7 linked regions of the Sus scrofa genome follow. The protein of the gene in region 6 interacts with the protein of the main gene of each other region in a pairwise test. Links are inferred from orthologs where the notes say so. Each region holds a gene or a part of one and is shown on either strand. Other genes may lie near its edges. The genes, in order: NCK2, TSTD2, TSSK3, PLEKHN1, EIF5A2, REL and GADD45G.

Region 1 (4,908 bases), about 32 Mb from region 6:
GCAAAGACAAAAAATAAAAATTAAAAAAAATATATAAAATAAAATAAATAATGCTTGGTTCAAACGTTTGCAAGGCGGTGTGTGCCTGGGGGAGAGGAAGCCGAAGAGGAGTGGCCCTTTTACAGAAAGGAGCCCAATCCTTGGCACAGCTCTGGAGGGCAAAGGAGAGCCGAGGGGAGAAAGTTAAAGAAAAGCAAACTTGGATTCTATTTAAGGAAGAGCTTTCTAGCAATCTGTGTTCTCCAAAAATGGAATTGGCTGACTCTACACAAGGAGACGTGTTCCAGCAGAGCTGGGTGGCCATCTGTTGGGGCGGGGGTGGGGGGGAGCTGCCTGGCACCCAGCACGCGCATGCACTGGCTGAGCCAGGCCCCCTGAGTTCTAGAGTCCAGGGTATGCAGACACATGGGACTGACCACAGCTCATGAAAACCTGAACCCTAGAGAGAGGGGTGCTTCATCACTCAGCTGTCTTTTTGTTCTAAAAACCAAAGGAAAAAGTGACAAGCTGTTCAAAGGAATCTGGAGATAACGCGAGTGCCTGCTTTGTCTTAGGTTACTTCCTAGCATTCTGCTCAGTTTCTGGGCATTTCCTTCTTCTTTTCTTTTTTTTTCAGCCACGCCTGCGGCATGCAGAAGGTCCCAAGCCAGGAACTGAAAAGGGACTGAAGACATGCCACAGCAGTGACCGGAGCCACTGTAGTGACAATGCAAATCCTTTACCTGCTAGGCCACCAGGGAATTCCCTGAGTATTTCGTTCTTTACTAGAATCCTGAGAATAGATTTTTTTAAAAAACAGTAAGAATATAAGTCAACAATGTTCAGCATCTCCAAAAGCAGGTACTTCAGTGAATGAGAGGCTGAAATTGGAAAAAATAAATAAAATTATGTCAGGGCACTCAAAGTATTTACCTATTCATGCTTCTTTCTTTCTTTCTTTCTTTTTTTTTTTTCCTCGTCTTTTTAGGGCTGAACCTGTGGCATATGGAGGTTCCCAGGCTAGGGGTCGAATCAGAGCTACAGCTGCCAATCACAGCCACAGCCACAGCCACTCAGGATCCAAGCCATATCTGTGACCCACACCACATCTCATGGCAATGCCAGATCTTTAAACCACTGAGCAAGGCCAGGGATTGAACCCATGTCCTCATGGATGCTAGTTGGGTTCATTAACAACTGAGCCACGACGAGAACTCCTGCCTGCCTTTCCTTATAGTTAATGAAGAGTTATAAACACTGGACAACAATATTCTTCTCAAGTGACATGATCATCAAGAAAAAAAAAAAAGGATAAAAAAGATAAAAGGGTGTCAGATTTGTGAAAAATAATCAGCTTACTCATGAAAAACAGAATTTCTCCATCAGGCAGAACCTACAGTAGTCAGTGTGAATCACACACAGGACTATGTCTCATTTCTCCCTTCAAATTGTGGAAATAACCTAACATGTAACATAGAATTACTACCCAATGGATAAAGGCTCTAAATGGTTTCGATGAGAGCAGTGGATGCGTTCAGATTGCAGAAAAATGAAAGGTGGGTAGGTTGCAAGTCTTGTCACATGCAGAGTTTAACATTTTCTTTCTGGTTTTCCTACCTGTTCCCCTCCCGCAAATGAAACAAATTCTGTTAGAAATGAAAAGGTACTCTATCTAGTCACTTGTGATGGAGCATGACGGAGGATAATGTGAGAAAAAGAACATATATATGTATGTGTGACTGGGTCACTTTGCTGTACAGCAGAAAATTGACAGAACACTGTAAATCAGCTATAATGGAAAAAATAAAAATCATTAAAAAAAAAAAACATTATGAGACTACTGCCAAGTAGTCAAGAATAAAGTATCAACTTAAGTCATTTTGTCCCAGTGAACTTAATTGTGATGGACTTCTCCATCTGCCATAGCAAGAACTGCTTTCTTATTATTTAATACTCAATTTATTCAGCCTAAAGACTGGTTAGACATAATTTCTTATTATCAACTTAGATGCAATAACTAATTATTTATTCAATTATTTTTTTTTTAATTAAGGCACCTCTGTTATACCAACAACTGTGCCAAGATTGAGGACATGGCCATTAATAAAAATTAGGGGAAATCACACCAAAAAAACCAAAGAAATGAAAAGGAAAACCTCAAGGAAATGTCACGTGGGTGATAACACTCATGTTTTCAACCTCAAACTCTTCTGTGATAAGCAGTGGTCTCAGGTGGCAGGGCCCACGCTCTCACCCACACTCTGCAGCAGTAACTACTGTGCAGAAGTCTGATACCCACACTGAAGCAATACTGGACACCATCAATATCAGGGGATGCAGGTGGCCTTTCCCACGGCTGGATACCAGGGAGGGGAAACAGGATCGCAGGAAGAAAGCCGGGCAGATAGAGAGCCCCCACGAGTCACCCTGGTCAGCTGGCATCACACCGCCACTCCTGTCCCCACTTAGCTGGCACTGCCCAGGGCTGCAGTGTGAAATGCCACCAATTTAAAAGAGGGGAAAAGTTCACCTGGTTCAAAGCGCTTTTCGCTGTCTGCTTCTCTATGCACAAAAGCCACAGGTGCAGGATTCTGTGAGATGGAAAAGCTCTGGTGGAATGACACAGGTGGAGCTGTGGACATCCCTAGGGGATGGCAATTCCATCCCGGGACCCTCCAGAAAGTGGATGCCAGGAGACAGAAATGAGCAGGGGCCCCGGACACAGAAGGGTCCGCTCACATGGAACTCCAGATTCTAGAATCTCCAAGAAACGACACAGTGGATTTCTCCGCTGGATCTCTCCCCATTTCCAGAATTTCAGAAAAAGACACGAAGAAAGATGTTAATACTTAAAACATCCTTTTTTTTTTTTTTTCCTCTCCTACACCAACTAAAACGATGACCCCTCCTCCCTGCATCCCGAGAAAGGACACTCACCCAGTGTGTCCTTGAGGTTCCTCACGAGGGAGCCCTTCTTGAGGCTGTTCTTCCGCTCCACGTAGTTGGAAGGCACATAGCCCGTCCTGTTGGCCGCGTTCCGCACCCGCCACCATGTCTTGGAGTCGTCCAGCAGCCACAGGCGCTCGTTCTTCTTGATGTCCAGCTCCTGGTCCTGCTGGGCCGTGTAGTCCCACTTGGCTATCACGATGACTTCTTCTGTCATCTTTCATGGAGTCCTTCTGTCAGCAAAACAGGCGAGAGGCTCATTAGAGACCAAGCCAAAAGCTTCATCCTTTGTCCCCACTTGGAAGATGATGCCCTGACAGCTTTTAGTAAAAACTTGGCCACTGAATGTTGCCTGGGTCTCCAAATAACCTTCAGCGACCTTCCTTCAACACATGGGAATACTTGGTTTAGAAACGGCAGCCTCGTGAAACAAATCTTAAGTTTGCACACTAGGAATTCTGCATGCTCTGACAAAAACAAGCGGCAACCAAAAAAAACCTTCCAAGAGTTCTAGACAACCATACGAAAAGGAAACCTGCTTACAGGATGAAGGAACACCAGATCCTTCTGGCTGATCTCTTGATGCCTACTATCTAAGGATATGCTTAATTTTATGGACATATTTAATGGACATGACACACCCAAACTACAATGTGGTATCTTGGATTGCATCCTGAAATATAAACACTGGTAAAATCCAGATAAGTCTAGCCAACAGTGCCACTGACTAATTTTACCCCTGACTGTTTTGACGAAGGTCCCTAAACACCTAAGATGTTAGCACTAAGGAAAACTGAGTCCGGGATACCTGGGAAGGCTATCTTTGTACCTTCTTCCTTAAGTAAAAAAGCATTCCTGGAACCTGAAACACAGACGTTTATTGTAGCTTCACTCGCAATTGCCAAAATTTGGAAGCCATCAAGATGTCCTTTGGTAGATGAATGGAGAAACAAACTGTGGTACATCCAGAAAATGGACTATTATTCAGTGATTGAAAAGAAATGAGCTGTCAAGCCACAAAAAGACATGGAAAAACTTCCAGTGCTTATGGTCAAGTGAGAGAAGCCAATCTGAAAAGGCACAGACTGTATGACTGGCACAAAGACTCTGCTATTAGATCAAATGGTAGTCAGGCTCTTCTGATTTCTCTTCCCAAACGAGTTCGGTACTTGAGTCTGTCTTTGCAGTGCCCACTTTTAGCAAGAATCCTGCTAAGCTAGTTCAGCCAGGTGCCTCCACCCTTGCCCAAGTGGTGTCTGATCATCCCGGGCTGCTTTCAGGAGGGATCCTGTGAGGTCCATGTAGCCAGAACCCCCCTTAGCTCTGCTGGTTCCTCGTAGTGGTTGTGCATGCACCTGCTGCCCAACCTGCTGCCCAGCTATAAAGTCTCACTTCCCCTCCTGTATGTGGAATGGAGCCCAAACTCTCCCCCCCCCAACTGAGAAAACCCCTTATTGTACTCCCCCTAGTAAAGTCTGCTGGACTGGTCTTTAATGAGTGTCATTTTTTCTTTAATAATTCCAATGATGTGACATTCTGGAAATGGCAAAACTACGGAGATGTTACAAAGACCAGTGGTGGCCGGGAAAGGGGAGAAAGCAATGATGAGATGGAGTGCAGGCATTTTTAGAGCAGTGAAACGAAACAACTCCAAAGGATACTATAAGAGTGAGTATGTGTCACGACACACTTGTCAAGACCCATAAAACGTGGAATACTGGGAATAAAAGTATTGTAAAATCATGCCAAAATTCAATTATCTTTAAAACAAAAAACAGAGTATAGAGCATACTTAGTTAACTATGGAATTATCTATTATTAATAAATGGCTCAGGCATATCTGAATAACTAAAATGAGTACAGTTATAAGCTAGTTTCAGCAACTCCCTACTTCTCAGGTAGAAGCTGGACCAGTATTTTTCAGGCAGAAAAATTCAACATTCTGTCTTTTAAATGACTGGAAGTTTACTCAAAATGAGGAAG
Region 2 (4,802 bases), on a different chromosome or scaffold from region 6:
AAATTTAAAAACAAACAGGAGTTCCCGTTGTGGCTCAGTGGAAACGAATCCGACTAGGAAACATGAAGTTTCAGGTTCGATCCCTGGCCTTGCTCAGCGGGTTAAGGATTTGGCGTTGCCTTGAGCTGTGGTGTAGATCGGAGACGTGGCTTGGATCCCATGTTGCTGTGGCGGTGGTGTAGGCAGGCAGCTACAGCTCCGATTGGAACCCTAGCCTGGGAACCTCCATATGCTGCAGGTGTGGCCCTAGAGAAGGCAAAAGACAAATAAATAAATAAAAACATGAAAGTATCAATGCTAAGAACTGCTCCTTTGTTGGGAATCCTCCTTACTAACATCCCTACCTCTAAATGTTCACTTGCTCTATCTATACTCAACTTTGAGGTAATCCTCATCTAGTTCCAAGAATTGATCAACTATATTTACTTCAGAAAAGTTGAGCAAGGGGAAGTAGGAGAGGTGAAAGCAGATTGGCCATTAGTTGGTAACTGCTGAAGCTGGTTGATAAAGTACATGGGAGTTCCTTTTATAATTTCCTCTACTTCTGTAAATATTTGAAGCTTCCATGAAAAATTAAAAAAGGGTAACAATCATAAATAAAGGAAATTTTATATTTAGAAGACTATACAGTAAATGACTCCAAACTTCTATCTCCAGGCTAGATTCTCCTCTGAACTGCAAGTTCACATAACCAACTGTCTACTGGATGGCTTCAGCTGGAGAGCCAGGAGACTGTTCAAATGCAACTGTCAAAACCAAACCATTAGGGAGTTCCCATTGTGGCTCAGTGGTAACAAACCCGACTAGAATCCATGAGGACACAGGTTCAATTCCTGGTCTTGCTCAGTGGGTTAAGGATCTGGCACTGCTGTGAGCTGCAGTGTAGGCCACTGATGTGGCTTGGATCCCACGATGCTGTGGCATAGGCCAGCAGGTACAGCTCTGAATTGACCCCTAGCCTGGGAACTTCCATATGCTGCAGATAGGGCCTTAAAAATAATAAAATAAAAAACAGGAGTTCCCATCGAGGCTCGGCAGAAATGAATCTGACTAGTATCCATGAGGATACAGGTTCCATCCCCAGCCTGCTCAGTGGGTTAAGGATCTGGCGTTGCCATGAGCTATGGTATGGGTCACAGACGCAGCTTGGATCCTGCATTGCTGTGGCTGTAGTGCAGGCCATTGGCTGCAGCTCCAATTTGACCCTTAGCCTGGGAACCTCCATGTGCCCTCAAAAGACAAAAAATAAATAATAAACAATAAACCAAACTATTAGAAAGAAAAAAAAAATCCAGCTCTTAACTTGCTCTCCTTGTCTTCCTCACCTCTGTAAACAACAATTCCATTCTTCCTGTTACTCAGGAAAAAACTTTGGGATTCTTGTCTCCTCACTCTTTCAGAGTATTGAAAATCCTGTCAATTCTGCTTTTGAAATATAATCACATCAGATGACACTGCACTACCTTCCCTACCAACCCCACTTAAGCAACCATTATTTCTTGCATGAATTATTGCAATTGCCTAACTGCCCTTCTCCCGTAAGAGCAAGAGGGGTGACTTTAAAAATAAGTCAGATCTCTCCCTCCAAAGGCTTTTAAAGGCATCAGATAAAGTCCAAGGTTCTTATAAAGCCTTTCCCACCACACCCTAATCGCATCTTTTTCTATTTTTGCCCACCACCTCTGACTGCAGTTTGCTGGATTCCTCAACCGGTCATCAGCACTGAGAAAGCAGGGGTTTTCCTTCGTTCACCTCAGCCTCCTCAATGTCTAGAACACTGCCTGGCACATAATAAATACAATATTTGTGGTATGGAGTAAAAGGTTGGGTGGCCAGGGAAGGATTCCTAAGGGGGCTGATGCTTGAGCTGGGACTGAAATGCCAAGGAGCCATCCATGCATACTTAAGGGTAGAAATCTTCAGGCAAAGGAATATAAATGCCTAAAGGGTGAACAAGCTTGCCTTACTGGAGGTACAGGAAGAAAGTAAGAATTGTTGGAGCATAGTGATAAAAGAGTAGGACCCTGTAGGTCAGGTTACTTTACATCGCAAAGTCATGAGAGAGTAGTAAAAAAGGAGTAACTGATTCCAGATCGGTTTTGAAAGTAGAGCTGATAAGGTTTACTGATAGTTCATTAGGTAGTAAGTAAGGAGCCAAGAATGACTCCTACCTACATTTTTGGATTAAGCAATCGGATGGATGCGTAAAAGTGAAGGAGCAATAGGTTAGGCTAGGTTAGGCTAGGAGAATGAAAGGTTCATTTCACGCGTGTGAAATTTCAAATGGCCATCGACAAAGCAGATAAGCAGCCGTGGTGTTCACCACAGAGGTCAGGGCGGAGAATATTCACATACACATAATGGAAGTATCCAATAACCACTGGAAACATTACTAAAGCGATCAACAACTCAGAGGGGCGAGAGGTCAGACGACGGTCAGAAGCTAACCGCAGAGCAGCAAGCTCAAGCTAGGCAGGGTCTTTCGGTCCCCAGAGCTGCTCGAGCGGCGCCGCTTCCCGCTTGGGCCCCACCCCGCGCGCCGGGCCTGGCCCAATCTCTCCTCCCAGCTTTCCCGAGTCGGCAGAGGCCCGGAAGTGGGAGAAAGATGAGCACGTACCCGCCAGTCCAGATCCTTTCTTAGATCTTTCTTCACCAAACCGTCTCCGCCTAGCAATTGTCACCTCTCACCACCCTTGCACCTCCAGCCCCCGCCCCTGTTTACGTAGGAAGGAACGCCGGGGACCTCACCTCGCCCCGGAAGTCTAGGCCGTTAGCGAAAGGGCCGCCGGGAAAACCACTGAGAGGCCCGGGGGGGAGTCTGAAGTGGAGGGAGTCTGAACTAGAGCGTCCCTCCTAGACCACCCCCGCCAAGGCGTGGCTCGCGGCCTGCGGGCTCCGGCCGCCTGGGGAGGCGGTGCTCTCCGCGTGGCCCCGGAAGGACTTCCCGCGGAGGCGGGCGAAGGAAGCAGCGGAGAGGCGGAGGCAGCCCGAGGGGGCGGTTGCGTGCGGACGAGGCGGCAGTGGCTTGGTGAGGTTCCAGACGCCGGCTCTCCGGGATCCGAGCCCGCCGAGCCCACCCGGCCACTTCTCCCCCTTGCGCTTCCGGGAGCCGTCGCGAGCGAGTGCGCCTGCGCGCGGGCCACTTCGTGAGCCTCGCCGCTGTCCTCGCGCCGGCCGGCTGCCCGACGGTTCCTGCCGCTCTTCCCGCCCGGCGTCTAGGCTCCGCCGCATACACAACGTGCGGCATGTCACGGCGGCGGCACAGCGACGAGAACGATGGTGAGTGCTCTGGGCCTGGCCGCCGAAGCCGCGCCCAGGTGGGGCCGAGGTTTGGCTTCTTCGGTCTTCAGGTCCTGAGCGAAGGGACGGGAAGCCCTTCCCCCAGGAACTTGCGGGGAGATGGGTGGCACAGCGGGAGTGTGGCTGGGCGACTGCTGGAAAGCTCGTGCTATCCCCCACCGCACCTCTTGAGTCGTCGGCGGAGGGGAGGCCTGGTGCACCCCTGGTCTCTAAGCACTCTTTAAGATAAGGTCCTTGGTACCGCCGAGCAGGGAAGTATATTTGTGTCTGTGCCGCTTCCCCTTAGAGACGGTGACCAGGACTCACTTGTCCCAGTGTCTCGTTTTGACCCTCAAACATCATGTATTAATGGCTCTCGGAAGGTGAGAGATCTGATGAATTGCAATCCCAGCTCTCCTGTGCGGGTCATCCGGGGTTTTGCCTTCTTTCAAACCACTGGGGAAGAAAAATCAGCTTCTTATCCGCACGCGAGAAGTCTTTAATAAATAGATATACGTAGGTCGTTATGTTAGATCTTGAATTGGTTGTAAGCTTATTTCTCTCGTTTAAGAAAAGAATGCCAGAAGACTCACTAGAGAGCTCGTAGAGGTTAGATCGGGGTTCCCATTTGGATATTTGCACTCATGGGGATCCTGGAATTGCCGTCATAGAAACCAGGAATAATTTAGCTAGTTAAAAATAGGAAACGATGCTTACATTAAAAAAACAACAGTCAAGAATACACATCTAGAAAAGCAAAAAGAAACTAAAAATAATTTAGTTATTAATACTTGAAAATAGTGTTGTAAAGTGGTTAAGAGGCCAGACTTTGGAGACAGAGGGTTTAAGTTCAAAGTTAGACCTTGCCATTTATTTTGTGATCTTGCCCAGATTATATCACCTCTTTAAACCTTAGTCTGTAGTATTGGATTAATGATACATGCCTGTTCTTGGTTTTGTGAGGATTAACATATGTAACTAATTGCTCATGATGATATGTATTTTATCATCTGTTAATGCTTAAGAATTGATAAGCATTGGCAGATGTCAACGATGTAGGAAAAAAATACGGATCAAAAAGTTGGATTTAATTAATTTTCTCCACTTATATTTTTCTCTCCTTGAATGTTGGGGCACTCGAGGGTAGGAACCAAATCCCACCTACTTAATTTTAACAATGAAATATCAGTTTTCTGCTAGGACATGGCTTGAGAGGATAGTCTAGTCCAGTCTTGTCACCTGACACCTAAGGGTCTAGATTTAGTATAATTAATGGAGATGGCTGTGCCCAGACACAGGTGAAAGCAAATCCAAGGTTCTTTTTGCTACACATGTATAGTAGGCTGCATGCTTTGATTTTTTTTTTTTTAATCACAGGAGGCTTCTTGTATAATGTACATACAGAGCACAGAAAATAGTCTTCATGTGCTTTGCATTTGATTAATTAAAAACCTAAATCTCCTAGAAGTCATCACTTGGTATTTGGAGAACTTGAGTCTAAATTTAAAGTTGTTCCCATTTTC
Region 3 (4,109 bases), on a different chromosome or scaffold from region 6:
AGTTCTTGGGAGAACTAAATGGGTCTGGTGTGAGTGGCCATTCTCTTTATTCTAAGTTGTCTGTCTACCCCTTCCAGTCCCAAGCTTCTCTAGGCCCCCGGAGCCCAGCACAGTTATGCTAATTTTACTGGAGAACCAAGGAGAGTGTTGGGGAGGACGCGAGGCAGAGAGGCTAGAGCACAAAGGCCGCGCCATAAGGGGTCATGAATAGCAAGGAACGGTTTTGGCGCCCAGCAAGCAGAAGGCGGACCGGGAAAGGCGGGCCCCTGGGGTTGGGTCCAAGGGGGTAGACAGCAGAAGGTAAGGTGCTATTGGATGAGGCTGAGCAGCCGGCGCGCCTGGTCCGACGGGATAGACAGACACGGCCAGCCCGGAGTGAAAAGAACAGTTTATGCTGTGCTTTATTAAAATGTGCATCATTCTTTTATTTAAAAATGTGCATCACTGTCTCGTGCTCGGCGCGCGCGACCTCAGCGTGGTGGCCCGCGGCGGGCCTTGTCCCCGCCCGGCTCCCGCCGAGCCGTCGTGCGCAGGCGCACTCAGGTGGCGCGGGCCCGGGGGCTCCCGCCCATGGCCAGGTAGACGTCGATGGGCACGTGCAGCAGCGTCAGGCAGTGGCAACCGGGGCAGCGTCGAAGCGGCCTAGGGAAAAGCGGGGTGTGACAGGGGCCGCTGAGGCGGAGGCCCGCCTATCCTGTTGGGATGGCGTCTAGGAGTGCACTTGGGGTCCCCGAGGTTCGGGCGTGGATGTGGTACCTTATATGGGGCGGGGTCGGTCTAGGGACGGAAGGTGGGGCGGCAAGGAGGGGCGCCGGCCTTACCTGACCGGGTTGTGCTCCGTAGCTACAGGCTCCGGGCTGTCCTGGGACTCAGGGGCGGCGGCAAGGCCGGGGGAGTCTCCAGCCTCAATGGGGAATCTTCGACCCTGAGGGGGCTCCTGGGCACTCATGTCCAGGCCCCGGGGCGCTCTGCGCGGGGAGTAGCGGTCAGGCCGCTACCGGGCAGCTGGGCTCCCCCACCCGGCGCCCGCCCCTTGGGCTGTTGCTCACCTGCCGGAGGCCGAGACCGGTCCCAGGCCGGAAGCAGCTGCCCGAGCCCTGGCCACGGGAGGACGCTCCGGTCCAGGCGGATCCGGGCAGGTGTCTGCTGCGCGTCCGTTCCCGGGCGTCGAAGGGGAAGGCTGCATTGTGACCCGGGCCGAGGCGCGGTGACCTCATAGAACCCGTTCCTCCGGCCAGGGAACCTCACGCTGCCCGGGCACTTAGCGGGGTGGCGAGCCAAGAGCTGGAGGGCTCATGCCATGGGTCGCACAGACCCCGAGCTGCCCTATGGGGGCACAGGAGGCGGCGTCCGCCGAAAGGAGCCTGGCATCCTGGGCTGCGCGCAGACCCCTGGAGCGCCCCCCACAGGCGGGGCCGCGAGCGACTCACTGCCTGGCGCGGGGTCGGGGCGCAGCAGTGACTGAACCCGGACAGGGTTTGGTGGTGGTGGTGGTGAGGGCAGATAGGAGCATTGCTCATTTTGGCCAAGAGTCACACATCATTTACATCACAATTAGGCCAGAGTTTTAAAATGTCTGGCCCTCTCCCTCCCCACCACCTGCGGCTGCTGTCTCCAGACGGAGAATGCTTTAGCCCTGGGGGCGGCTGCGGATGAAGTCCTTGGGGGGAAAAGGAGCGGGCCAAGGGCGATGGTGGAGTAGAGCTGCCTCGCAGAGGCAGCATGAGCTGAGAGGGTAATAGGAAGGAAGGAGGTGTTAGACAGCATGGAGGACTTTCTGCTCTCCAATGGGTACCAGCTGGGCAAGACCATTGGGGAAGGGACCTACTCAAAAGTCAAGGAAGCAGTTTCCAAAAAACACCAAAGAAAAGTGGCAATTAAAATTATAGACAAGATGGGAGGGCCAGAAGGTGAGCTGGGGGCCCTTTGGAGGAAGGGAGGGCTGGCTGAAGTGGGTGGGCGCTTCCTCCAGTCAGAAGGACCATTTCCTCCTTCTCTTTGATCTGAAACCAAGGAAAGCAAGGGAGTGTGGCTCTGGGGTAGGTCAGTGGGGAACAGAGGAATGCTGGGTGTCAAGGACAATCACACCCTCCAAAGTCCAAGATTAAATCTGCAGGAGGTAGAAGGATCCTCAGAAACAGAATCCAAGCCCACCAGGGCTTTCCTATTCCAGGACGGGAAGAGACTGGAAGGCTGTGGCCAGGACTAGCAGAGGGCAGGAGTGGGGCCAAGGAAGGTAGAGACTGGGAAAAGACAGGGCTTATGGAAAGAACTGTGACTCAGGAGTCAGAGGTGAGAGGAGCTGGCTCACCACGCTGTGGGCAATCAGGCCTCACAAAAGATTCAACAGCTTTGTCTAAAAAGTCTCCAAAGCATTTTGATATCCACGGTCTCACAGGCTGCTCACAACGGTCCCTGAGGCTGACAGGGAACAGTTCCTCTGAATAATATATTAGCTACAAAAACAACAGGGGTGAACATTCTTTGCAGTGTCCAAATAGCTGGATGTTAAAGGCTGTGCAAGGGAACCAAGGCACAAGACCCAGACATGGTGGGCCAGAGCTGGAAGGCAGGAGTCAGGAGAGGAGTTCTAGGCCCTTCTGGACTTGACACTCCTTCTCTTTTCCCTTGTGTCCTTAGAGTTTATCCAGAGATTCCTGCCTCGGGAGCTCCAGATTGTCCGTACCCTGGACCACAAGAACATCATTCAAGTGTATGAGATGCTGGAGTCTGCTGACGGGAAAATCTACCTGGTAATGGAGCTGGCTGAAGGAGGGGATGTCTTTGACTGCGTGCTGAATGGAGGGCCACTGCCTGAAAGCCGGGCCAGGGCCCTCTTCCGTCAGATGGTCGAGGCCATCCGCTACTGCCATGGCTGTGGTGTGGCCCACCGGGACCTCAAATGCGAGAACGCCTTGTTGCAGGGTTTCAACCTGAAGCTGACAGACTTTGGCTTCGCCAAGGTGTTGCCCAAGTCATGCCGGGAGCTGAGCCAGACCTTCTGCGGCAGCACAGCCTATGCCGCCCCCGAGGTACTGCAGGGTATTCCCCACGATAGCAAGAAAGGGGACATCTGGAGCATGGGCGTGGTCCTGTACGTCATGCTCTGTGCCAGCCTACCTTTTGATGACACAGACATCCCCAAGATGCTGTGGCAGCAGCAGAAAGGGGTGTCCTTCCCCACTCATCTGGGCATCTCAGCCGAATGCCAGGACTTGCTGAAGCGGCTCCTGGAACCAGACATGACCCTCCGGCCTTCAATTGAAGAAGTTAGTTGGCATCCATGGCTAGCAAGCACTTGATAAAAGCAATGGCAAGTCCTCCCCAATAAAGCAGGGGGAGAAAGCAAACCCAAAAACCCGCTTCTAAAATGTTGATATATATTTTACACTTTAAGTTTACTTATCCTAAATCTTACCTATACCCTCCCCAGCCTTACTTCTCTTTCCCTTTAAAGATCTTCATGGAACGAGAGGGCCTCATTCAGACTTCCCTTTTATTACGGCTGACAAGTGATTTTCATACCGGTGTTTAACTAAAGTTAATTAAAAACAGTCCCCAGAATCATACACGTACAGGGGGAGGACAGGAGAAAAATGACCAAGAGCAACTGAAAAAACTGTTGTTGCAACTTCCTTTCCAAATAAAAGCAGAAGCGTTGGGAATGCAGAACAGCCTCTTGACTCCTTGTCTTGGTGAGAGGCCTGCTGGGGGCTTGGCCCTTCCTCATCCCAAAGGCCGAGCCGAGTCTGGGATGAGGACAAGGGACTTCCTCAGGACCCAGGCTACCTCCCACCACAACCCTCCCCCAGGCTCTAAGTAGGAAGCCACCCTGCTCTGGCTCTAGGCAGTTGCTGTGGGGACAAGAACAGACCCCCAGACACTTTCCAGCTTCTGTTGAATCTCTTTAATGCTGTTAACGGCAAATCTGGAAAAGGTTCAGGAAAAAGTTCTTTTTTCTTTCTTTTTTAATTACAAAACTAACAGCTGTTAGAATCTTTTTTTTTCCTTTTTTCTTTTCCCAGCTAGAAAATACTCTGGGGAGATGCATTATAATTTAAAATATATAATATTGCACAAACAACCAAAAGGTTAATTAAACTAAAGAA
Region 4 (3,407 bases), on a different chromosome or scaffold from region 6:
CGACAAGGGAATGCTCACAGGTGCTCAGGGCCCTCAGGCCTTGCCCTTTGACCCTTGTGTTCTTCAGTATCTAGGAAGGAGCCAGCGTCCTCAGTCCAGGCTCCCTTGGACTCCACTCGAGGGTCCAGCCGGTGGTGGTGGCCGAGGCTATGCTCCACACCTGGGAGTGAAGAGATTCTGGAAGGCTGGGTGGGTGGGGGCCAAGCAGGGAGCTGGTTACTGAGGTGGCCAGATCAGCAACTAAAAACATAGGGGCGTCCAGTGAAATTTGAATCTCAGACACACAGGATTTGAGATGTACTTATGCCAAGAAATTAGTTGTGGTTTATCTGAAACCAAAGTTAACTGGCACCCTAGTCCTATCTGGTTATCTTGTTGGGGGGAGGGGCACGACAGGGCCTGGGAAATTAGATGACTTCAGAGCAGCAGCAAGGCCCCAGCTGGAGGTCTGAGCAGGGGGCAAAGGTAGGGAGGCTGGGTGGCCTTGAGACTAGGAGGCCATGTCCCAGGGACTCTGCCCTGTTTGTAAGTGGGCTGGGCCAGTGGAGGCCTCTGAGGCTGCCTTGACCCTTGAACCCCAGGGGTGTACAGTCAAGCCTCCTTGGTTCCTGCCCAAGATGGTGAGCAGGTACCTAAGGTGCCCTGTGGGGTGGGGGTCTGTAGGGCAGAGCCTGGAGTCCTTCCTCCAGGGAACCCTTGAGCAAGTGCTGAGGCAGAAGACAATGGCATCGGGGGAGGGACTGGACAACCTGGGATTGTCCCAAGTCTGAGAGGAGCTGGAGATGGGACAGGAAAGTGGGTGGTGTGCTGGTGGTGGTAGAGCACGGGGGTCTGCCAGGCTGGGTGCTAGGTGGGCATCCAGCCCCGAAGCAGCATGGCGTACAGGGTCCCCAGGACGCAGGAGACTCCTGGCTGCTGAGGACAGAACACGTGGACACATGGCGCCAATAAAATCTCTTTCTTTCTTGTTTGGTCTCTTGTCAGTTTCTCCCGGTGAACCCATTCCACTCCCACGCTCCCAGAGAACCTTCCTCCCTCTGCCCTCCTAGTCTCAGACCTTGCTGGCCCTCGTGCCCTCTGACCTCCCATACGCGGACCCTCTCTAAGCTGACTTTCCTGGTTCTCTGACCGCTACACCTGTGCCATCCTCCCTCTCCCAGGTGAAAGCCCCTAACCCAAGTCCCCTCACTCTTTCCTCCCCAGGGAGGCAGGCCGAGGACGGCACCCTGGGCATCCAGTCACCTTGGCCAAGGCGTCCTGAGGATGGGGCCCTCCTGGCTCCTCCAGGGCTCAGGGAAGCTCAGGGTTCTGGAGACTCCCTCCACCCTGCTGGGGCCAGATCCTGGCTCAATACTGGATGCCTGAGCCTCACAAAGAAAGAGCCAGGCCCTGCTGCAGACCCTCCTCCAAAGTCAATGCTGATAAGCGGTCCTGAGAAGCAGCCACCCGAGGGCCATCAGATCCACTGGACGAGCCCCTCATCAGCCTCAGGTGCTCCTCGAGGCCACCACTGGTGAGAAGGTGACAGGGCCTTGTCCTGGATGCTGTCGTAGCTCCTGAAGGGGTGGCCATCTGGTGGGGAGGGCAGAGATGCATGTGCCTGCAGGGAGCAACACCCAGAGCTCTCCCCGGAGGAGGCGGGGCCCTCACTTACCTGGGGGCGGTGGCAGGGGCGGGGGGGACGCTTCCCTGGCGGGGGAGACCTGAGGACCCCAAGCACAAGTCTCAGAGATGGGCCCTGGGAAAAGGGGCTTGAAGACCAGCCCACCTTCTCCCCTTGGCCTTCCTCCTCCCCAGTGCCCCCATCTTGCGACTGCGCATAGGTCTCTGCCCACCTGCTCTCCCCGTTTCCATCTTTCCTGCTCCCTCAGGGTCCCAGGAGGCTCCATGCTCCGTCCTCTCCCAACAGGACCCCTTGCCTGGGGCGGGGCGGACTGGCTGCTACTCACATGCTGAGGGGAGCCTGGGAGCCGGGGCCCCCGGTCCTTGATGGAGCCACGATGCCGCTGAGAGGCTCGGGACTGCAGGGCTCCCTTCTCGGAGAGCGAGTGGGGGCTGGAGAATCCAGAGCTGGGGTCCGAGACAGGTACCGACCCCGGGCCGGCGGGGAATGGGCCCGAGGGCTCAGGTCCGAGTGAGCTCTGCACTGCGCTGAGGAACTGCCAGTGACCAAGACCTCAGGCTAGGACCTCCAAGCAGCTGAGGGACCCCTGCCCCAGAAACCCCTTAGCCTCTCACAACAGCCTGGGCAGACCTCAGGCTTCAGGCACCCTCCTAACCTCCGGCTGTGGGCACTTCCAGCTCTTTCTGTCACCCAGCAGGGGACTGACCTTGTCCAGGCCCCGGACATCTGCGATCCTGTGGTGGGAAGTGGCAGGTGGTGTGTAGGGATCAGCGTAGAGTGGGGAGTGTGGTGTCTCCAGAGAGTGGCCCGGGGCCTCAAGGCTGTCCTCCAGGCTTAGCTGCAGGCAAGAGACAGATGCGACAGGTTTCCTGGAACTGGAAGTGGCCTAGCCCTCCCTGCTCCATGCTGTAGGCCTCTGGGTAGCTCCGGGACCGAGACAGGCCAGGAAGGTGACGGGCAGGAGGGAGAGGCAGGCCCAGAGCCAGGGTCATTGTGCTGGGCCCACCTTGGTCAGGTCCAGGCGCAGTGGGGTGACTGGGCTGGGCCCCTCGCCCCTCGCCTTGCTCCTGGGTGATCGGCTGCTGCCGCCCCGTCTCAGCTTTGCCCTGTGTCCACTGACACTGGTGCCGTCAGGGTTGGCTTGCTCCTGCGGGGACCAAGAAATTTCCAAAAGTTTCCCTGGGGCCCTCTCCCACGTAGCCCTCTGAGGTTACACAGAGCCCCTGCAGTCCAAGTGCCCTCCCCTGAGGAGGTAGGATCCTAGTTGGGTTGGGCTCCCCCTCTCCCTCCACGGCCCACTCCCCTCCAGACACTCACCAGTGCAAGCTGGGCAGGGCAGTCTGTGGTAGAGGGCACCAAGGACTCAGGGAGGGAGTGGCTGGTGCAGGTGGAGGCGGGCGCCAGGCACCCTGAGTCCCAGCTGGTCCGTCCATCCGAGGAGAGCGAGCCTTGGCCACCACCCACAATCTGGGCAGTCGGTGGTGGGTGAGGGTGAGCCGACAGCACCTCTCCCCACGTACCCATGCCCAGACCCATCCTCCTGTTTCTACCACTGCCCGGGACCCCAGCTGTGGGGCAGCATCCCGCTGCTGCCAACCCCTCACCTGTGTGGGCGCCCGAAGCCCAGGGAAGCTCTCAGGGCCGGGCAGCAGGGAGGCCCCATCCTTGTGGCAGACAGTCTGCAGGCAGAGCAGCCAACGGCCATAGTCCTCGTAGCTGGCACACACCACACGGATGGTATTGATGAGACGGCCTGGCACACGGAGGCCGTGAGGGGGCCTGG
Region 5 (4,667 bases), on a different chromosome or scaffold from region 6:
TACAGGAGTTCCTGTCGTGGCTTAGCGACTAACGAACCCGACTAGCATCCATGAGGATGCAGGTTCAATCCCTGGCCTCGCTCAGTGGGTTAAGGATCTGGTGTTGCCGTGAGCTGTGGTGTAGGTCGTAGATGTGGCTTAGATCCCATGTTGCCGTGTCTGTGGTGTAGGCCGATGGCTACAGCTCCGATTAGACCCTTAGCCTGGGAACCTCCATATACCCAGGGGTGCAGCCCTAAAAAGACAAAAAAAAAAAAAAAAAAAAAAAAAATTATACAACACAGTATAAGGTATAGAAAGAAATCAGCTTAAATTGGATAAAACAAATCTGAGTATTACACTTGTATATTTCACTGTGTAAAATGAATAGAAAAGAGTTCAATACAAGATAAAAAAATTGAAGACTTTCAAGATTAATCTGAGCTCCCACATCCTATGAGGTCAGTGGTTTAGTTACCAAGAATACTCCAAACAAGAAAGTGCTATCATTAAATATGACTTATCCAAATGTATAACTGTAACTAAAAATTGCAGTTTATACACATAATTTAACCAAAGGTCACAGCACGGTCATGGAACATAAATAAAACAATTACAAAGTTTTTGTATTTTCGGATTTCCCATAGTGGCTTGGTAGTTAACGAATCTGACTAGGAACCATGAGGTTTCAGGTTCGATCCCTGGCCTTGCTCAGTGGGTTAGGGATCTGGTGTTGCCGTAAGCTGTGGTGTGGGTAGTAGACACAGCTTGGATCCCATGTTGCTATTGCTGTGGCTCAGGCGTAGGCCAGCAGCTACAGTTCCAATTGGACCCCCAGCCTGGGAGCCTCCATGTGCTGCATGTGCGGCCCTAGAAAAGGCAAAAAGACAAAAAAACCCAAAAAACAGAGTTTTTGTATTTTCTTCACCATATTCAGTGACGCTATATTTTATACACTTTCAACTAATTTCCCCATTTAAGAACACCAAATTCTGACACACATTCATTAATATGCACAAACTTGGTCGGCAGAAGATGAATTCCAATAATTTCTTGAGCACCTGAAGTCTGATAAGTGAAAAGAAATACCCAGGAGGGAGTTATCTAAACTTGAAATAATTTATAACAAAGAGAATAGTAATTTTAATAAACACTGGACTAACAATAGGGAGTCAGTCACTTGATCTGAGAAACAATGATTGTTCGAATTTTAAAAAATGCAAGAATGTTTAAAAATGCAGACTAGCTATCATCCTAGTTAAGGTACAGGTGTTAAATATTACTATTTCTCCAATCTTCTATGGTAAGTGGTACCTAATAATTGGTTAGAAAAACCTACAAAACTACTTGTGGGTTTTATTAAATTACAATGGCAGTAGAAAGTATCTGCACCTTGAGGACATGAATAGTATTCTAAAGGAAATTAGTACTTACTTGATAATCATTTCTCTTAATATTTGGAACATCCATGTTGTGAGTGGAAGGGCAAATATCTTCATACTTTTTGCCAGTGAAAATATCAATTCCAACAAGGTGAACCTAACAGAGAAAGGAGAACAGGAAACCTGTTTAATCTTTGCCAAGATATCACTCATTACATACACAGGAGCATAATACCAGCACTGATTATGACAGATTCTTTCACCTTCCAAGGTCATCTAATTTTACTTTCTTAAAAAAAAAAATGTAGTGGCATACAACTGAGAAGCAGTGAACAACTAAAGAATATCATGACATATCAAGACCCAATATCATATAGTCTAATAATTCAGTCATAAGAATGCTTAAGAAAAATGAAGTTAGGTTCCTTAGAATGATGTTAGGTTTTTTCATTTGTAAACTAAATAGACTAAGTTACTAGGATTCAGGAAAGTTTCAGTTTACAGTTAATGAAACATTATAAGAGCCGAAGAAGGAAATATTACCTTTCAGTATTCAAATAGCTAATCACCCAGTAACTATGGGATATTAAACAATTATAAGTACAGAAAACTCATGTTCTGTAATGGAATACAAATAATCAAAATCCCAACCCCGAGATAGACCTGAAAGGGCATTTACCTTGGCATGACCGTGCTTTCCAGTTTTGGAAGTTGACATCTCCACTATTTTGCATGGTCGACCTTTGAGCACCACGAAGCCGTTTTTGCGCAGGGCCGAACACTGCATAGGGTAAGTGCTGGAAGCTCCAGCATCTCCAGTAGTGAAATCAATTTCATCCGCCATGGTGGGCTGGGAAGATGGTTGCTTTTCTGAGGGAACTATGCAAAAAGTTTGTTTGCTTTTTAACAACTGGCATGCAGGCAGGGAAACCCCTCATTTCGGGTTTCCAAGCATTATGGGTCTATTATTTTTGCATTTATAGAACACCCACCCAGAAGAGTAGGGACTTTCTAACTCTGGCCTTACAAACTTTTCCATCCTCTGGTAGGGAGGTGGGAGGGAAGTCGAAGAAAAGCTGGCTGTGGATGGGGAATCCCCGCCTTGGGCGCTCACCCGCGCTGAGGGCAGCAAATCCCGGCCCCCACAGTCCCATCGCAGAAGAAGCTGGCGACCTTCCCGCACTGTGCCGCGCAGTCTGGCCCTCCGCAGCCGCCCGGATCCCCACTGTGGGGGGGCCCAGCCCAGGCCGCACGTCCCCGCGAAGGATGGGGATAACAGCACCTGGCCAGCAGCACTTGGCCCTCGGGCAGCGTGTGCGCACTTCTCCTCCCAGCCCGCAGCGCCGTCACCTCGACCTCTCAGACGCCCCCTGTCCTGCCAGCATCCCCGGCCCGGTCCCGCACGGGCCTGAGCCCTGGCGGGTCCCGCGCTCGCCTCGGTCCCCCATCCATCCTTCCTTTTTTCCTCGGTTGGGGCTGGGCTCTGGCCGGCTTCTTCTGCCCTGCCTCGCTCCGGTCCCGGCCCCACCAGCCTTTCCCCTATTCTTCACCTTTCAGCCGGGAAAGAGTGCCTTTTGCCTGCGCACCGGTGCGGGTCCCCCACAGCTGCGGCGGCGGCAGCTGTGGCGGCCGCCGCAGTTCCAAGAGACGGGGCGGGGCCGTCACACTTTCCACACCCCGGCCTCCCCGCCCTTTCCCGCCCCCACCTCAGCTCCACTTCCGGGATAGGTCCCGGCGCGTCATAGGCACCGCCCTCTCGCGCTACCATTGGCTACATGGTTCCCGAGGGCCCGCCCAGTCACGTGAAGAGCGACCTGGCAACCCCACGTGCTGCGGATTAGTGCACTTCCGGCGTGAAGAGCACTTTCTGGAGTTCGGTTGTTGAGGGTAAACACGCCGGCAAGGAAACTTGTTCCCTCAAACTTTTGAGTTCTTTGCGTTGGCGTCTCAGTTGAAGTTAAGGAGAACCAAGCCACGCGCTCCGTGGCCTTTGCCCTCAGGTGCCAGGCGGTTGTCACGTGACAGCTGTCAGACTTCGCGAGGCTTGATAATTCAATGGTTATCCCTTGTGGCTGTGGAGGGAACTTTGGGTTCCCATTTCTGGCCCAACTTGCAGCCCTTCTTGGCTTTCAAAACCATGCTTCTTCCTTGGGGAAGAGCCAATGTAGTCTACCTGGCCCCCACTGCAGGCTGTGCGGGTGACCCCAGCCACCCATGATGAGGTTCTGGCAGCCACTGCCACTGGTGCCCCGCCTGGATCAGCAGCGCTCTGGCGGGGCAGGGGAAGAGGAGGCTGAGACGTCCAAGAACTAAAAAGCTGTGGAATGACCTAACTCACTTCTCACACCGGACGCTGTTGCGGAGTTTTGGAGGCAAATGAGTGTCAGATTCCTACTGCGTTATCCAGCAGAAAGATGTTCTTGCCAAACTCAGCTCTTCCTTCGTCCTGGAATTGCCTTCCTTCAAGTCTGAGGTGTGTCCATACCTCATTAGAGCAGTTTGGTTTGTCTTGGAATCAACGTGGTACCAATAGCGACTTGAATAGGATTAGGACGAAGATTCTTTTTTTTTTTTTTTTTTTTTTTTTTTTGTCTTTTTGCCATTTCTTGGGCCGCTCCTGCGGCATATGGAGGTTCCCAGGCTAGGGGTCGAATCGGAGCTGCAGCCACTGGCCTACTCCAGAGCCACAGCAACGTGGGATCGGAGCCGCGTCTGCAACCTACACCACAGCTCAAGGCAACGCCGGATCGTTAACCCACTGAGCAAGGGCGGGGACCAAACCCGCAACCGCATGGTTCCTAGTCGGATTCGTTAACCACTGCGCCACGACGGGAACTCCAGGACGAAGATTCTTAAAAAGAGATGTGTTCTGGAGTTCCCATCGTGGCGCAGTGGTTAACGAATCCGACTAGGAACCATGCGGTTGCGGGTTTGGTCCCCGCCCTTGCTCAGTGGGTTAACGATCCGGCATTGCAGTGAGCTGTGGTAAACGTTGCAGACGCGGCTGGGATCCCATGTTGCTGTGGCTCTGGCATAGGCCAGTGGCTACAGCTCTGATTGAACCCCTAGCCTGGGAACCTCCACATGCCGCGGGAGTGGCCCTAGAAAAGACCAAAAAAAAAAAAAAAAAAAAGAGATGTGTTCTCCTATTCTCAGTGGTTTCACAGTGAAACAGAGTCCATCACATTCTCTTGCCTCGGAGAGGTGACCTTTACACCTTCTTTTATGTGGTGCTGTGATTTTGTATTGCTGTGGTTTACACAGACATTTCACACATGTTGTCCAGTCTAATCTTTACACTGGCTA
Region 6 (4,113 bases):
CTTATACCAGAGCAGCAGAGTTGAGTAGTTCCACAGAGACTCTATGGCCCACCATGCCTAAAATATTTACTATCCAGCCCTTTGCACAAAAACAGGTTGCCAATTTCTGATTTAGATCATTCTGCTAGGGTTAATTAGAAATCTTTTCTTCTTTTTTATATTCTTAAATCAGTACTTTTTCTTAGTTTAATATGCACAGCAGTCATATAACATGTAAATAAATACAGACTCCATTTTTTATTTAAAGTTTTATTAAAGTATAGTTTTACAATGTTAATGATAATTCATTCATTTTTTTTCTGTCTGGGAATTTTGTAGTGCCTTAGAGTGAGTTATATCTTACTATAGCTTAGAAATTTATGTGGATTTTTCAATCACGATAATGAATGTTTCCTCCGTCCCTCAGTTGTTCTCCTAAAACTGGAGAATATGAAATGACTTTTACTCTTTGGAGACCCATTAACTGAAATTCTGATATTTATCTTTCACAGTTCAAAAATACCTTTTTTTTTTTTTTTGCTTTTTACGGCCACACTTGTGGCATATGGAGGTTTCCAGGCTAGGGGTCTCATCGGAGCTACAGCTGCCAGCCTACACCATAGCTGCAGCAACACAGGATCTGAGCCGCATCTGTGACCTACACCACAGCTCATGACAGCGCCAGATCCTTAACCCACTGAGAGAGGCCAGGGATCGAACCTGCAACCTCACGGTTCCTAGTCAGATTCGTTTCCAATGCGCCACGACAGGAACTCCCAAAATACCTTTATAGGACCTTGGAAATTATATTTTCACAATTAACTGGAATGAAATTTTCTATGCCAAAATAACCAAAATCATTTTATAGGTATTTGTGAAACAATAAGCATTAGAGAAGTCAATTCTGGACTCCTGTAATAGTTACCATTTTTATTTGAAATGTTACATTAATTTCCTTGAAAATTTTTAGTGTGTTTATGTAATTTTAATTTAGAAATAATACTTTTAATAATTTCGTTCATTTCAGTTTTGTAAAAATACATTTCATCTCCCACAGAATCAAACTTGTTTTCTCATGGTGCAGTTTTGACAGAAACATCCAGGCCAGTTTCAAGTCAAGCAGAATCCTACTATTCCTCATCCATCTCAAGTGCATTGTCACATCCTGCTTCAACCATACCCACAATGGTACCTCAGCCTTCTTCAAGCTGGTCATCAGTGGCCCGCCCCACCTCACGCTCAGTCAATACAAATTCACTGAGTGGTTTCTCACCAGGGACCCTTTCCTCTAATTCACATGTTATCACGCCATTCCTGGAAATGCCTGTTATGAATGATCTGAATACTTCTAATGCTTGCATTTATAATAATACAAATGACATAGGCAGAATGGAAGCATCGTCTGTGTCACCAGCTGACTTATATGGTATTTCTGATGCCAGCATGCTGCCTCATTGTCCTGTGAACATGATAACGCCCAGTAACGACAGCATGAGGGAGACTGATAATCCGAGACTTGTGAGCGTGAATCTTGAAAACCCTTCCTGTAATTCAGTGTTAGACCCAAGAGACTTGAGACAGCTCCATCAGATGTCGTCTTCCAGTATGTCAACAGTCACCAGCTCCAGTACTACTGCTTTTGTTTCCCAGTCAGAGGCATTTGAGGGATCTGACTTTAATTGTGCAGATAACAGTATGATAAACGAGTCAGGACCATCAAACAGTACTAATCCAAACAGTCATGGTTTTGTTCAAAATAGTCAGTATTCAGGTATTGGCACTACGCAGAATGAACAATTGAGTGACTCATTTGCATTTGAGTTTTTTTAGGTTAACTTGTAAGATTTAAATGGTGAATTAATTAAATCTCTTGGAGTTCCCATTGTGGCTCAGTGAAAATGAACCTGACCAGTGTCCATGATGATGCAGGTTCAATCCCAGGCCTTGCTCAGTGGGTTAAGGATTTGGTATTGCCACAAGCTTCCATGTAGGTTGCAGACGTGGTTTGGATCTCACTTTGCTGGGGCATGGGCTGGCAGCTTGAGCGCCAGTTCGACCCCTAGCCTGGGAACTTCCATATGCCGTGGGTGCGGCCATAAAAATTTTAAAAATAAAAAACAAAATAAAGGAAACTTCTAAAAAAAGAATTCAATCTCTTTAAAGGTTGTCACCATTTTGATTTTATCTATGTAGATGCAAAATTTTATATTTCTCTGACTACAACTGTGACACAAGGGAGTTTTTTGGTTATGTTTTAGGGATGATAGTTCAAAAACATATTTATCAGAGGGAATAGTATCTTGAACAACACATGTTTGAACTGTGTGGTCCATTGTGCAGTACACAGATTTTTTTTTTACTGTTCAAGTACTGCAGTACTACACGATTTGAGACGGGCTGAATTCATGGATGCAGAATTGCAGAGACAGGAGGCCATCTGTAGAGTTTTAAAGTTAAACATGGATTTTCCACTGTACAGAGGCTCAGTGCCCCAACCCCTGTGTTGTTCAAGGGTCAACTGTAATTATAACTTTAGGTATGTAGAGGATGGATTGCTCTAACAGGCAGTCTTGGCTTGGGAGCTTCTTGTTTTGCTGGCAGAGAATTTGTCGAGATAAAATGAAAGATGAATTCTCAGTGCTTGAAGCTGCAGCTTAAAAAGGGAGATGAACTCATTTCCCACTTTCAGGAAGAGCTAGAAAAATTTGTCCAGCATTTACAGAAGACTTTTGCTTCAAAAGTAGATAAATCCACACAGACCGAACTCCTAGGCTGTGATGCATTGTGGAATCCTACATACAATTAAACTGGGAATTTCCTGGTGGCCTAGTGGTTAAGGACTCAGCATTGTCACTGCTATGGCTCGGGTTCCGTCTCTGGCCTGGGAACTTCCGTGTGCTATGAGTATGGCCAAAAAACCCCCCCTTTAAACCTGTATATACTCTTGGTATGCAGAATACAAAGTTGGAAACAGTCACAAAAGGAAAATTTTCCAAAATAGAAATTTAAAAGGGCTTTACTATTTCTTCTTTTATTATTTTTTTTTTTTTTCCTTTTGAAGACATGTGATCTCATTCTGTGTGTGGTGGGAATTGTCTTGAGAGTCCTGTCACTTTTTCGCAAGACAGACTGAGAACATTATAGCAAGGCTATAATGTTTTTCCAGGTACACTTTTTTGGTTTTTTAATTTTAATTTTTATTTATTTTTGGGGAGGTTTTTTTGTTTGTTTGTTTGTTTTTTGCTTTTTAGGGCATATGGAAGTTCCCATGCTAGGGGTTGAATCAAAGCTGCAGCTGCTGGCCTATACCACAGGCACAGCAATGCAGGATCCTTAACCCACTAAGCAAGGCGAGGGATCAAACCTGTGTCCCCATGGATACTAGTCAGATTAGTTACCACTGAGCCATTATGGGAACTCCCCTGAGCACTCTTTTATACTTCTTTTATGATGTATTAATATATTCTTAGTTAAGTGAACTAATTCATATTTGCTTTTAAGCAAATTGAAGGTAAAACCTGTAATGGCTATGCCATTGGAAAAATTAATTCCTTATTATTTTTGAGGCCCATGGGCCAAGGTGACCCCTAAGGGGTTTTCTGAGGCTTCTTGGAGTTTCCTAGATTTACATGTAAATAAAAATTTCTTTAAAATGCCAAATTGAGAGGGAACATACCTTGATATAATAAAAGCCATTTATGACAAATCCACAGCAAATACTCAATGGAGAAAAGCTGAAAGCCTTTTTCCACTAAAATCTGAAACAAGGATGCCCACTCTCACCACTTTATTCAACATAGTATTGGAAGTCCTGGTCACAACAACCAGACAAACAAAAGAAATAAAAGATATCCAAATTGGAAGAGGAGAAGTAAAATTATCACTGTATGCAGATGACGTGATACTACATATAGAAAACCCTAAGGACTCCACACAAAAACTGCTTGAACTGATCAACAAATTCAGCAAAGTAGCACAAGATTAATATTCAGAAATCAGTGGCATTTCTGTATACTAACAATGAAATATTAGAAAAGGAATACAAAAATACAATAGCTTTTAAAATCACACCCCCAAAAATTAAATACCTGGGAATAAACCTGACCAAGGAGGTCAAAGACTTACATGCTGAGA
Region 7 (4,009 bases), on a different chromosome or scaffold from region 6:
CATGCTCCATCATAAGTGACTAGATATAGTTCTCAGTGCTATAAAAACAGTTTGAGTGTTTAATAATTTAATTAGAGCAATACCTAAGTCTCAATCACTTAAGAAAAAACACTTTATCCAATCAAGGCCCACCATCATTTTAAACACCACCAACAACGAACGAGAAGATACAGTAGCAAATAATCACCGCCTGATGCCGTCTGACTCCCGCTGTTATAAAACGCCTCGGATTTCAGGGATATGAGGTAAGCAAAGACCCAATTCTTGGCATCAGGAAGTGGCCTGCTTTCGCAGCTGTCCTCTGGCAGCTGGCCACCGGGTGGCGCAAAACGCCAGCGCACTCGGCTGTTTTTCTTACCCGTTATCTCCGGTCTTGCACCAGAGCCTGGGCTTCCAGCGAATTCACCCCGGCCCGCAAACAGTCCTGTCCAGTCTCTAAGGCCTCATCTAGAAAAGAGGGGCAATGGAATGCACCGCAGCACTGGTTTCAACGTAGAGCAGAGAGATGCAGACACCAAAAGTGATAAGTTGAGTGAGCGAAGGGTCTTTTCGTTTGTCCCCAACTCCTTCCGGCGTGGGTTTTGCAGCCTTTCTTCTGACTTCTGTTAATACGCAGCTTGGAGGGAGCTCAGCCGACCCTACCAGGGCAGCTCCTTGACCAGGAGGCTGCAGGCCAAGTCACTAGTGGTCAATGCAAGTGTAGGGGAGGGAGGTGGTCAGGATCTTTCCTGCCGGCCTGTAGATGGCGCTCCGGGAAAGATATTCCGAGCCGCGTTCCCCAAGCTCTAGGGGCCTGGAGCCAAGGGGTCCGGGCTGAGCGCAGCCGGCTGTGTAAATGGTGCAGCAGCCAGGTGTTCCTTCCAACTGCCACCGCTGTTCCGCACGTGTGCAAGGACCCGGTGGGGCGGAATTACATGCAAACGTGCCGCTGGTGCAGCAGGGCCTGTGCGGGGGTGGGGGTGGGGAGCCGCGCACCGAGGAGGGCAGGAGCGGCACGCGGCCCCGACCCCCACGCGCCAGGCAGCCCGGCGACCCCCACGAGCGGCAGGGCCCTACCCACCCCACCCAGCGGCAGGTGGACAGTGTCGCTATGAAGAGAAAGCTTCGATTGTCCCTCCCACAAACCGCCACACGCCAGACCTCCGCTATTGTGCGTCCTCCATAGAAATGCAAACGAGCCGCGTGCGCCGGCCGCAATCTGCTCGGGAGCCCCGGCGCCCCGCAGCGCTCTGCAGAGGGCGGGGAGCTCGGGTGGGACTTTCCAGCGCGACGGGGTCGGAGCCTTGATTCTGCAGGGAGAACCTCGCATTCCGGGCCCTAGTGTCAGGTGGAGGGAGCTGCGCCCGGGCCTTTTGCAAGCTTAAAGCCAGGACTGTGTGTTTTTAAGTTCCGCTTTAAAAGCTACTGTCTCATAAACTCCAAATTAAGAGTAAAGAAAAAATAGAAAGGTAACAACAAAAATAAATGCAAAAATAAATTCATTAGATTCTCCAACGGTGCATTTCACAAATTGCAGCGTACTATTAGCTAGCAAGGGTTTGGCTTTTTTTTTTTTTTTAAACTTTTCCCTTTTAAAGACTTAAAAACAAAAAGGCTAGATGAAATCTGCAGGCTCCAGGCTGCCTGGTAACACCCCGACAAAAGCAGCAGATTTGAGGCATTGTCATCCCCCGCACCCCTCCCCACGTGGCCTTCTGGCACGAGCCGCCGGCCGCCGCCTCATTTGCATCAGAAAGCGGGCGCCGGCCAATGGGCGCGCAGGCTTGCGCCAGCTGGCGGCGCCGAAGACCCAGCCTATATAAAGGCGCGCGGCGGGACCCGGGCTCACTCGCTGGCGGTGGGCACGCCGAGCAGAGCTGCGGGCTGATCTCTCTTCGCTCGCGTCCGCTCCGCCCTCTGCTTTTGTGGATAACTTGCTGCTTGCGGATCGCAACATGACTCTGGAAGAAGTTCGCGGCCAGGATACGGTTCCAGAAAGCACGGCCAGGTAAGTCCGCGCTGAGCGCCGAACGTCTCAGGGCTCCGGGATCCTGGTCCTGCCCTGGCCGCGGCTGGTTGGGCGCAGTCTTCGAAACCTTCCGGGGTGGGGGTCCGCTGGGTAGAAGTCAGGCCCAAGTGTTTCCGCTGGGCTGGGGGTGCGGCACTGGGCTGGAGCGCCGGAGTCGGGCGCCGGGGGTGCCTCCCAGGGCTCGGGGGTCCTGGCTCACCCTCCGGCCTGTCCACGCTCATGGCGGTGGCTCCTCCACAGGATGCAGGGCGCCGGGAAAGCACTGCACGAGCTGTTGCTGTCGGCGCAGCGACAGGGCTGCCTCACCGCCGGCGTCTACGAGTCCGCCAAAGTCCTGAATGTGTGAGTATAGACGCGGTCCGGGCGAGGCGGCCGGGGGCGGGCAGAGCGGCAAGGGAGACCGGGGAGAAGGCGGCACGGGGCACCCGGGGCACACCGATCTGACCTCTTCACCTCCTTCTCGCTCGCGCAGGGACCCCGACAACGTGACCTTTTGCGTGCTGGCTGCTGACGAGGAAGACGAGGGCGACATTGCGCTGCAAATTCACTTCACTTTGATCCAGGCGTTCTGCTGTGAGAACGACATCGACATCGTGCGTGTGGGCGATGTACAGCGGCTGGCGGCGATCGTGGGCACCGGTGACGAGGCGGGCACGCCGGGAGACCTGCATTGCATCCTCATTTCGGTGAGTGTCGCCTCCATCCCGATGTCATCCCTGCCCTTGCCAGCGGCCAGCCCGGTTGACCTCTGGACTCTCTTCGCAGAACCCCAATGAGGACGCGTGGAAGGACCCCGCCTTGGAGAAGCTCAGCCTGTTCTGCGAGGAGAGTCGCAGCGTCAACGACTGGGTGCCCAATATCACCCTCCCCGAGTGACAGCCCGGCGGGGGTCTTGGTCTGATCGACGTGGTAACGCCCCGGGGCGCCTAGCGCGGGGCTGGCTCTGTGGATGCGCCCTAGGAGGGCGCCCGAGTGCGGCGTGGAGACTGGCAGGCGCCGGCGCGTGGAGAGCGGCGAGGAGGTGCGGCTCCCTCCCGAGGAGGGGCCCGGCGGCGACAGGGGCAGGCTGGCCCCAGCCCAGGACTCTACAAGTGTGGGGAGCGGTTGCTCGCCCAGGAAGGCCGGAGGCGGGACGTTGGCCGCGCGGCCGGGAAGGACAGACTGGCCGGGCAGGCGTGACTCAGCAGCCTGTGCTCCCGGCAGAAAGGAGGGGAAAGGCAAGGCCAGGAGGCCTGGACTTGTACAGTAACAGAAGCTCTGACGGACTTAGCAGTAGGCACTGCTGTTTCAAAACGGATCCGGGCGATGCTTCGTTTTCTAAAGGATTATGCTGCTGCAGCGTTGAGTCTTACAATAAACTTACTGAAAAAAACTTAACTCTCTTTATTGAGGGCAGGGGATCTTTGTCTGAGGGGAAGGTGGTTAGCGGGATTGCTGACGATTTCTGAAATTCCCGGAACTCGCTGGCACCTGTTCCATCTTCCTGTTAGGGCTGAATTACAGGCTCCCGGGGTGCTCGAAGTGGGGGAGGGGGCGTTGGCTGGGTGTTAGCAGAACTTGAGCCGTGCCCTCCTCTCCCTTTAGGAAGATTTTTACACTCGCAAGATAGGAGCATACTTGGGATAAGCCATCAGTGCAGCAGCTGGCCATCCAACCTGATAACGGAGGCCTTTCCTTTCCCTCCCCTCCTCCTTCTCTCCCCTCTGCCCCCTCCCTTCCAACAGCTGCTTATCGAACAGCTTGCAGGATGCAGGCAGCTCCTTCCTGTGCAATGAGCATTGCCTTCTGCAGGGGCTGCCCTTTGTGGTCCCTGAGGATGGCGGCAGACTGCTCTGAGGAACCTTTTTATCTCAAAGGGATGGCGCTTAGAGCAATGTCACCAAGGTATTAATATCGCATATGACATGATGACTGCATTTGCGTGTGAGTCATCATTTTGTCATGGCTGTGATAGAACTTAAAAAGATCTTAGCAAAGAATGGTAAAGCGGCATCTGCACAA

Evidence for each region.
Region 1: the proteins of REL (region 6) and NCK2 interact in binary tests that used the Homo sapiens proteins (3 or more experiments, as listed by UniProt). The two-hybrid records come from large-scale screens. The link is inferred for Sus scrofa from reciprocal best matches to the Homo sapiens genes REL and NCK2.
Region 2: the proteins of REL (region 6) and TSTD2 interact in binary tests that used the Homo sapiens proteins (3 or more experiments, as listed by UniProt). The two-hybrid records come from large-scale screens. The link is inferred for Sus scrofa from reciprocal best matches to the Homo sapiens genes REL and TSTD2.
Region 3: the proteins of REL (region 6) and TSSK3 interact in binary tests that used the Homo sapiens proteins (3 or more experiments, as listed by UniProt). The two-hybrid records come from large-scale screens. The link is inferred for Sus scrofa from reciprocal best matches to the Homo sapiens genes REL and TSSK3.
Region 4: the proteins of REL (region 6) and PLEKHN1 interact in binary tests that used the Homo sapiens proteins (3 or more experiments, as listed by UniProt). The two-hybrid records come from large-scale screens. The link is inferred for Sus scrofa from reciprocal best matches to the Homo sapiens genes REL and PLEKHN1.
Region 5: the proteins of REL (region 6) and EIF5A2 interact in binary tests that used the Homo sapiens proteins (3 or more experiments, as listed by UniProt). The two-hybrid records come from large-scale screens. The link is inferred for Sus scrofa from reciprocal best matches to the Homo sapiens genes REL and EIF5A2.
Region 7: the proteins of REL (region 6) and GADD45G interact in binary tests that used the Homo sapiens proteins (3 or more experiments, as listed by UniProt). The two-hybrid records come from large-scale screens. The link is inferred for Sus scrofa from reciprocal best matches to the Homo sapiens genes REL and GADD45G.

The regions. Positions count from the first base shown.
Region 1 is NC_010445.4:49,106,039-49,110,946, forward strand, and holds the start of NCK2 (cytoplasmic protein NCK2), read right to left. Parts: upstream 3,143-4,908; coding exon 2,917-3,142; intron 1-2,916. UniProt on the Homo sapiens protein: Adapter protein which associates with tyrosine-phosphorylated growth factor receptors or their cellular substrates. Maintains low levels of EIF2S1 phosphorylation by promoting its dephosphorylation by PP1.
Region 2 is NC_010443.5:239,489,771-239,494,572, forward strand, and holds the start of TSTD2 (thiosulfate sulfurtransferase/rhodanese-like domain-containing protein 2), read right to left. Parts: upstream 3,114-4,802; 5' UTR 2,749-3,113; exon of another isoform or gene 2,618-2,748; intron 1,782-2,617; exon of another isoform or gene 1,678-1,781; intron 1-1,677. Other genes in the region: NCBP1 (nuclear cap-binding protein subunit 1), read left to right, coding at 3,246-3,279.
Region 3 is NC_010448.4:88,808,258-88,812,366, forward strand, and holds TSSK3 (testis-specific serine/threonine-protein kinase 3), read left to right. Parts: upstream 1-1,765; coding exon 1,766-1,910; exon of another isoform or gene 1,911-2,640; coding exon 2,641-3,302; downstream 3,303-4,109. Other genes in the region: protein FAM229A, read right to left, coding at 540-642, 822-968, 1,050-1,186. UniProt on the Homo sapiens protein: Serine/threonine protein kinase required for spermatid development and male fertility.
Region 4 is NC_010448.4:63,333,677-63,337,083, reverse strand, and holds the end of PLEKHN1 (pleckstrin homology domain-containing family N member 1), read right to left. Parts: intron 3,378-3,407; coding exon 3,229-3,377; intron 3,092-3,228; coding exon 2,942-3,091; intron 2,772-2,941; coding exon 2,631-2,771; intron 2,463-2,630; coding exon 2,331-2,462; intron 2,160-2,330; coding exon 1,950-2,159; intron 1,704-1,949; coding exon 1,655-1,703; intron 1,573-1,654; coding exon 1,457-1,572; 3' UTR 944-1,456; downstream 1-943. UniProt on the Homo sapiens protein: Controls the stability of the leptin mRNA harboring an AU-rich element (ARE) in its 3' UTR, in cooperation with the RNA stabilizer ELAVL1.
Region 5 is NC_010455.5:109,527,393-109,532,059, forward strand, and holds the start of EIF5A2 (eukaryotic translation initiation factor 5A-2), read right to left. Parts: upstream 3,059-4,667; 5' UTR 2,912-3,058; intron 2,241-2,911; 5' UTR 2,206-2,240; coding exon 2,041-2,205; intron 1,519-2,040; coding exon 1,414-1,518; intron 1-1,413. UniProt on the Homo sapiens protein: Translation factor that promotes translation elongation and termination, particularly upon ribosome stalling at specific amino acid sequence contexts.
Region 6 is NC_010445.4:80,874,051-80,878,163, reverse strand, and holds part of REL (proto-oncogene c-Rel), read left to right. Parts: intron 1-1,036; coding exon 1,037-1,809; 3' UTR 1,810-4,113. UniProt on the Homo sapiens protein: Proto-oncogene that may play a role in differentiation and lymphopoiesis.
Region 7 is NC_010456.5:1,164,159-1,168,167, forward strand, and holds GADD45G (growth arrest and DNA damage-inducible protein GADD45 gamma), read left to right. Parts: upstream 1-1,841; 5' UTR 1,842-1,934; coding exon 1,935-1,987; intron 1,988-2,248; coding exon 2,249-2,350; intron 2,351-2,480; coding exon 2,481-2,694; intron 2,695-2,773; coding exon 2,774-2,884; 3' UTR 2,885-3,380; downstream 3,381-4,009. UniProt on the Homo sapiens protein: Involved in the regulation of growth and apoptosis. Mediates activation of stress-responsive MTK1/MEKK4 MAPKKK.